Macaca mulatta: one gene and its partner. The main gene of each other region encodes a partner of the protein of the gene in region 2 in a complex. Links are inferred from orthologs where the notes say so. Each region holds a gene or a part of one and is shown on either strand. Other genes may lie near its edges.

Region 1 (3,650 bases), on a different chromosome or scaffold from region 2:
TCAAAGTATATAAAAAGGCTAACGTATTTTAATCTTAAATATTGCACATTAACAATGATGTAAAATATCTCATTCAAAAGGAATTTTGCACTAAATATATGAATAAAATGCCAAGCAAATTTTCAGACACTGCATGTTAAGCCACACCTGTTCTTCCCATTGGTCACGAATTCCAAGGGGCTTTCTGCCTAGAACCTTGCTGCTTATGTGAGTATGCATTTCCTAGTTCATTACATGAAATCCCTCTTGTTCCAGAGATCATTTAAAAGGTGCCTGGGTCTATTACAGACACCGTATTTCAGAAATAACGAGACTTCAAAGACATTTTACTTGGGAAAAGTTCAGTTATAGAGAAATAATTCTGCAGATAGAAAATGTAAACAGTTAACATACACTTGTCAGGAGCAGCACCATTCTTACACTACTCGACATCCACATTGCATGTTATGTTGAAAATCAGGTATAAAAAAATAAAAGACTCAGACTAAATAACCACCATTTATGCCTGCTCTGCTCAATGTGAAGAAACAGTCCTTAGAAAATGACATCCTATATATGGCTGTGTGCTACTATTTTCAGATGAACGGTATATTGCTCATTTGATACATCACCTACACAAATCTAGGTAGGCTTTGGAACCTCCCAATAGCTAGTATAAATATGATTATGCTACAAGTAGAATCAAATGGCCAGAAACACCAGAACAACTGGTGTTCAACTGATAGACACTCCAAGTAATAGGAAACCGGAAAGGTCCAAGGGCCCGAAGCTGCAGGAAAGGGAAAGACTAGACTCTAGAACATTGCTGGGACCTACAGCCTGAGTAGATTAACTCAGTGTATACAAAAACAGGCTCATAGCTAGTAGAAGTGAACCATCTGTTTATTTGCATTGAAATGTATTATTCATGAAGTATCCTCTTGACTTTATGTGATCATAAACTTTGAGCATGCCACAAATTTGCAGAATACACCATGTTCTTTTTACTTATTTCTGTTGGGTAGGGTGGGGACATAAGGTGGTGGTAGATGCCCAGCATCTTCAAAGACATGCTCTGAGTTATTCTGCCACTTAGATGACGGGGCTTTTGCCAAAATTAAGTAGGATTGCCTACCAATTCTTGTAACTAAATTAGGATTGGCAAGTAGCAAATATTGGAGGTCTCCTAACACGTTCATCATTTACAGTAGTTATTCCTGAATATAACTGGCTACAAGTTATTTTCCCTCACTCCTCTGGGGTTATTTCATTGATAAGCACATAACCCTGAAGGATAGTATCATGAACAAAACATCTGAAATAAATTCTAATAAAAAAAACTATAAAAATCTTAAATAATTCATGATATAGGCAAGTCACCACATAATAGTTGCTTTGATAAACAAAATCTTACAAATTCAGTTAAAAAAATCAGCAGCATAAGATAAAGCAAATATGCAAAAAATTTAAAACATGATAAAATAATTAGGTTTACATTATACAGTTAATTACAGCAAAAAATACAATACAGTTTTGTTGCTGTTTTGAAACACAACTTAGGTTTTAAATTACATCACTTGAAATTAAAAAAAATAAACTACTTTACTACAAAATGAATTCTACATTTTTTGAAAAATCACTCAAAAATAAGACCACTGAATTGTTTTCAAAGTAGTTCTATCAATGACTAACCGACTCCCCGTCCCTCCCACCCCCCCACGGCCCAAGTAGTCATCTACAGCAGCCCAGAGGCCCAGCTGATGCTTCTAGACTGCTGTCTGTATCCGAGGCCAAAGTCGGATCTGTTGACATTGAAGACACATCATTGACAGACGACGATGACGATGGATGCTGAGAGCCATTGATCACTGCTGCACCTGTGCTATGAGAAACAAAACAGCAAATCAGTTGCAGACAGCTGCAGATCGAGCTACTTGCACTGCACTGCCTGCCTCTAGTGGTAATTTTTTCTCTTGGGTTTAGAAGGCTCACTAAAAATAATCGCAAATGATATCCAATACACTAAAAAACACTCTTCATTGACAGCTATGAGGTGAGAATTCTGAAAATGTCTAGAATCGTGGAGTCCTATCCTTTCAATGAATGTGTTTTCCAGTTTAAGACAAGAATTTACATCTGAGCCACATTTAGAAATGGTCCTGCAGCAAGATCCACAAATGGGCTTCAGGGTACGTGTGAATACTGCTGATAATACATGCAAAACTGTCTGTAATGCCTTTTTTTGGACAGAAGATCTTAAAGGACTGTATAACTACAAAAGTTAAAAGCTACTTCCCTACAAAAAAGTCTTTATAGCTTTGCACTAAAAAGGAAAAATTCAAATGATTCAAATTTGAAACAAGATGTACTTCTGGCACATCTTGTTTTAAAGCAAGCGCCAAGGAATAAAATAATTTTAACAGGAAGAAACCTTAATTCAACTGCCCCAGTTTATACAAGGTTATGGGACATGACAGTGTCACTCAAATGGCCTAGTTAAGTAAACTTGGGTCTTCTTATTTCTACGCTAATACTTGATAAGTAGAAATATGGATTTATTAAATAGATAAAGTAGGAGCAAACAGTTTCTTTTGCCGAAAGTATTACCTAATAAGGACTTCCTGAATTTTAAAAAGTAACACGAATACCTGAGCTCGAGACAGAAATCCTCTCAAGGGGATTGGTTTAGGAAGGGGACAGGAATGACTTACACTGGGGTATAGAGAAAAAAGGTAACTCATGCACTAGGCTAAGTACTTTTAAACCACATGAACACTAAATAAGGGTCATTCCAAATTTGAATAACGCAAGTTACTTAAAAGTTCTCAAGAATACATTTATGAAATAAAATCAATGGTCTTCAAATGGAACACTGAGCAGAATTTCTGAGGGTGAGGTTCAGGCACCCAACGATGCTGAAACCAAATATGGCTGAAAACCACTGCTCCTGAACCCAGCATCTGTATTTGAGATCATCTCTCCATTCTGTCCAGATAAGCAATAAAACACTTCAATATGAAAGGTCCTCTGCGAGCTTTTCTTCAAATGCAAAAAGAAAACAGGCAGTGTAGTGGGAATAGGAAAATCTTTAGGGAGGGGACTGGGAGACAGAAAGGAATGGAACCACAAGAGACAAAGCAGGTGATGGGAGTTGAAACAGAAGAGAAAAGCAGGATGAGTATTTCAGGCCTGAGAGATGAGAGGTAAAATAGGTGATAATCTCCTAGACCCAAGAAAGGTCCATTAGCTTCTCAGTCAGAGTGAAACTGAGATAGTATATTCTTTTTAGTTCAGTCAATACTTGGAATGAGCCTTTTCTGACTGAACAGTATGATACATCTGTGTAACATACATAGTACACAATGGCTAGTTTCTAAGACTTGTACTGAAACATTCAAACCATAAAAGGGATCCAACATATATAATTTTTATATATGCCTCTAGTTCAGGGTCTATTATTTTATCCAAATGTTTTAATCTGATAAAAATTAACTTTTAAATGCATTAACTTTTTAATCTAAAAATCAAGTACCTAAGGAAAAAAAACCACACACTTGTTTTTTCTTTAAAGCAATACAGTAAATTCTCAAATATCTGAATGGTAATAATATAGAAAATCATTAGTCTCAGGTGGGTCATTCCTCTCTCAAGTGAGTCTCTACACACTCAAG
Region 2 (3,814 bases):
AAGAGAGCTGAGTACTCACTGGAACGTGTGTGAAGCCCGCTGGAGCTTGTCTGAGGCCCCTCAGGGGCACACCTCTGGCCAGTAGTGCCTGGGGGCCCTGCCTAGCTGGGGGGCAACCCTCTCCAAGGCTCTGCTAGTGCAGCTGGGGGAGAGGGCAGGGTGAGAGTCCAGAACAGGTGCCTGACCTTTGAGAAGCTAAGTCAGGGCCCTGAGACCATTCCCCAAATCTAGAGGCCTCTGCCTCTTCCTGGCCTGGCCGGAGAGTGGAAGGTTGGGGTACTGGGGACTAGGGGGTTATCCACACCCCTTGGTTTCCTCTTGCCTGGCAGAGCTTACTGAGTCTCTGGGGGTAGCAGGAGGTCAACACAGAGACAGGCACCCCCTCCCCAAGGCATAATGCATGCTCCTATGGTAACCACTCTCCTGACACCATATCTGGCTACCTGCCCTCTTGGGGGCTCAGAGGAGCTCTGGGCTCTAAAACCAACCCCTGTGCTCTGTCCTCCATTTCCTGGCTAGCCAGCCCCTTCTTCCTGTTCTGAAAAGACATAGTTGGGATCCCCATCTGACCGCAGCTCCCCAGGTGCTGGGGACTTCCTGGCAGCATTCAGATCTTTAGGGACAGGAGACAGTCATCTTCCCTAGGACAAAGCCAAGGGCCCAAACCAGCAGCAATGCTGGGCAAACTCCTCAGTGGGGGCCTTTAGGACTAGGGGCCAGAGATGGTCTGGGAGGCCATGCAGTGCCATCTGTCTGGTGTATAGCAGCCAGCAGCCACAGGAGTTATTCCAGGAGTGCCTTGGCTGTTTCTTCCTGCCTCAAAGCACTGCAGATTCTACCAGACTCCACCCTGTCTGCCTCAGGCCCTTTCCAGGGCTGCTCCCAAAAGGATTTAGGGTAGCCCTGAGTCTCCCTTAAGTCTGGTCCTAATTGTTAATGCCCTAGGTCTCAAGACTTCCTACCTCTCTCATCTTGTGGGCAGCTGAAGGAGCTACTTCCTGCCTTAGTCCCCGACAGCGGTAATAATAATAATAATAATAAATAAAATTCTGATTGTACACCCAAGACATGCCAAGCAGTATACCTATGTTTCTTGCACATCATTTCATTTCATGAGGGTGCCAGCACAGACCTGAAACCCCTTTATCGATATGGGGATGCCCTTACCCCGTCCCTAGTCTTCCTGCCACCCCACTCAGGAGCTCCTGGGAGCTCACCCTTACCCGTAAGGACAGGGTGTCTCTGCACTGCAAGCTGATGCCACACTCATCAGTGATCTCCGAGAGGTCCTCATCCTCAAACTCCTCCAGGCTGATGTCGTGGGTGAGCCTGGTGGGGACAGGAAGCCAAAGTTACAACTCAGGGGCACTGCTATGCCCGCTCACATCTCCCTGTTACCTCTTTCAGGGGGCAGCCTCTTGAAGGCCGAACACAGCCCCCAGAGGACAGGATTTGGGGTCCATCTGTGTCAATGCAGGGGGTAGTCAGCAGGCAGGGAAAGAGCATGGGGCTCGGGCCAAAAGGCAATCCTCCTAGGGTGGCAGCGGAAGAGGCGGCTCTGGGTTACTCCAGCTCCTCCCTGGGAGTTGTCATTCTGTTGCCAACCAGCAGGCAGTGCTTAGAAGGCCTAACTGGTCAGAGCCTCCTCCCAGGGTCAAGGCAGGTGCCAAGGCCAGTTCACCATGGAGAATCCATGGAGTTGAGAAGAGCAGCAAGCCTGGAGTAGGAGAGCTCCCAGTGCAACCTCTGCAGTAGCAAGACCCGAGGTGCTGGCAGCAGCCTCAAAGGAGGGCCCCACGCCCCAGCTCAGGAAGACTCATGCCCCTTGAGCCCAGGGAACAAGCGAAGGAAAATCTGGTGTGGGTAGTTTCAGCCTATTCCAGAAAGGACTATAGCCTCATGCTGTGCACTTGGTGGTCTCATCTCTTCAACCACAAAATCTTCTCCTTTTCCATCGTAAGGACCCTGAACAGGAGGCTGCACACATGGGGTCAGGAAAAGCCCCAGGTGGAATCAGAGGTGTTATAAGCTCAGGAGACAGCTCAGAGCACCGGGGCACTACAACACTAACCAGCTTCACCAGAACCCCCCTCTCCCTAGGCCAGCCCTGAGTCCCCACCTCAGAATGCAGAGCTGGGCTAGCCACTGCAAGGCAGCCTGTCTCTTGCTCACCTCTAGTCCTGGGCACTCTGCCTGGCTTGCTGGAGGGTAGAACATTTGGGAAGTTGGGAAGAATGTATGAGGCTTTTCCCAGATAAGTCCAAGAAATTGAGGCACAGAGCAAGGGAAACCCACGAGTCCAAGGTCACCCAGGAGAGATGGTGGCTTAGCCCCCAGGGGAACCTAGGAGGCCTAGACTCCCTGCCGCTCGCCTCAATCAGACCAAATAGAGACCCTGAGCTCGATGGAGCTCACCCCAGCTTGGTCTCCACCCCTGCCAGCCCCGGTAGCCCCTACCAGCGCTCCCATTGATCCTCCAACCAGCTGTCATTGTCTGGGCTCGAATCCATCTTCAGCACCAGCTGCATGGAGAGCCCTGCCCGGCAGGGGGGCTGCGGGGCCCCAGGGCTGCCCTCTCATGCCCAGAAGGGTGCGGGGGCCAGGGCTCAGGGCAGGGCTGGGGGCCTCTGGCCTCCACCGCCTGGGCCTGTCTTTCTGCGTCCTGCCCGCTGCAGAAGCCTGGGGAGCTCATTAAAAATAGATAGGCCAGGAGAGGAGGCTGCAGCTGCCGACCCGGGTCCCAGCCCCAGCTCTTCCCAACGCAGCCCTCAGCTGCAGGCAGCTTCCTCCCAGCTGGCCGTTGCGCTGCTGTCACTGTGGCCGCCTCCCTCACGGGATCAGGTTACTTCAATCAATGCCACTGGCTCCACCTGCCCTTCCAATGCCCCTGTCGGGGACTGAGGTGGCCCCCCTCCCTGGCCCAGGCTTGTAAGTAGATGGCAGAAATCTAGGATGTTTCCCCCCAAAAGCCAGCCCTTGATTGGCTTTAAAGGGCCAGTGCCCCAGTCAGGGTGCCAGGTGGGAGATGAGGGGGCACTTCCCAAACACCTCAAGAATGAACACTCCGTTCGCACTGCCATAGGCTCAGCCCTCCGACCTCATCTGGGAGGCTTCTGTGGGCCCAGGATGCATCCAGACTGGATTTGATCTGGGCTGCCTCCTCCTGCAGCCAGGGCTCAAAGCCTTCAGGACCCAGGAAGGCAGGGCCTATGGATGCAGGAGGCGCCAGAGCCACAGCTAAGGGCGGGCCAGTGTTTGGGCCCTTAGAGCAGAGCTGGAAGGGCTGCTGGGTGGTAACGAGCTTCCTGTCCCTTTGGAGTGACATAAACAGAACCTGGAGGCCCCTGGAGGGCACTGCACAGAGGGGTGGGGGATGGGGGCTGGATGGACAAGGTGCCCTGTAGGGTCACTTCTGACTTGCAGCCCAAGGGTGGTGGTTCCCCGGGCCATGGGGAGGGTGTGGCCGGCCAGCTGGGGTGGAACTGGGGAGGAGGGCCTGGCCCAGAAGCCAGAGCAGCCCTCCTGCATCCGTCCAGGACAGGGTGGCATCTCTAGCTCAGGGACAGTAACCCAGTGGCCGACACCAAGTAAGTGTTCAATTCACACTGGCTGCCCAGATGGTCACCGAGAAGGCCAGTGGTGCAAAGGGGGACTCAGATGGCATGGGAGAGCTGCAGGACTGCTGACCCAGAGGTGCCCTCAAATGCCCCTGCTCTGTCAGTGACCTCTGCACTTTTTTTTTTTTTTTTTGAGACAGAGTTTCACTCTGTCACCCAGGCTGGAGAGCAATGGCATGATCTTGGCTCACCACAAC

Evidence for each region.
Region 1: the proteins of MAPK8IP1 (region 2) and MAPK8 are in contact, whole or in part, in a crystal structure (PDB 3VUM), measured with the Homo sapiens proteins. The link is inferred for Macaca mulatta from reciprocal best matches to the Homo sapiens genes MAPK8IP1 and MAPK8. Residues at the interface, in NP_005447.1 of Homo sapiens: Arg157, Pro158, Lys159, Arg160, Pro161, Thr162, Thr163, Leu164, Asn165, Leu166; in NP_001310257.1 of Homo sapiens: Lys83, Asp112, Ala113, Gln117, Val118, Met121, Leu123, Glu126, Arg127, Tyr130, Tyr133, Val159, Lys160, Ser161, Asp162, His286, Val323, Trp324, Asp326, Glu329.

Annotation. Positions count from the first base shown.
Region 1 is NC_133414.1:60,723,298-60,726,947, forward strand, and holds part of MAPK8 (mitogen-activated protein kinase 8), read right to left. Parts: intron 1,862-3,650; coding exon of another isoform or gene 1,857-1,861; coding exon 1,711-1,856; 3' UTR 1-1,710. UniProt on the Homo sapiens protein: Serine/threonine-protein kinase involved in various processes such as cell proliferation, differentiation, migration, transformation and programmed cell death.
Region 2 is NC_133419.1:19,718,639-19,722,452, forward strand, and holds part of MAPK8IP1 (C-Jun-amino-terminal kinase-interacting protein 1), read right to left. Parts: intron 2,929-3,814; exon of another isoform or gene 2,529-2,928; coding exon of another isoform or gene 2,458-2,528; intron 1,330-2,457; coding exon 1,224-1,329; intron 1-1,223. UniProt on the Homo sapiens protein: The JNK-interacting protein (JIP) group of scaffold proteins selectively mediates JNK signaling by aggregating specific components of the MAPK cascade to form a functional JNK signaling module. Required for JNK activation in response to excitotoxic stress.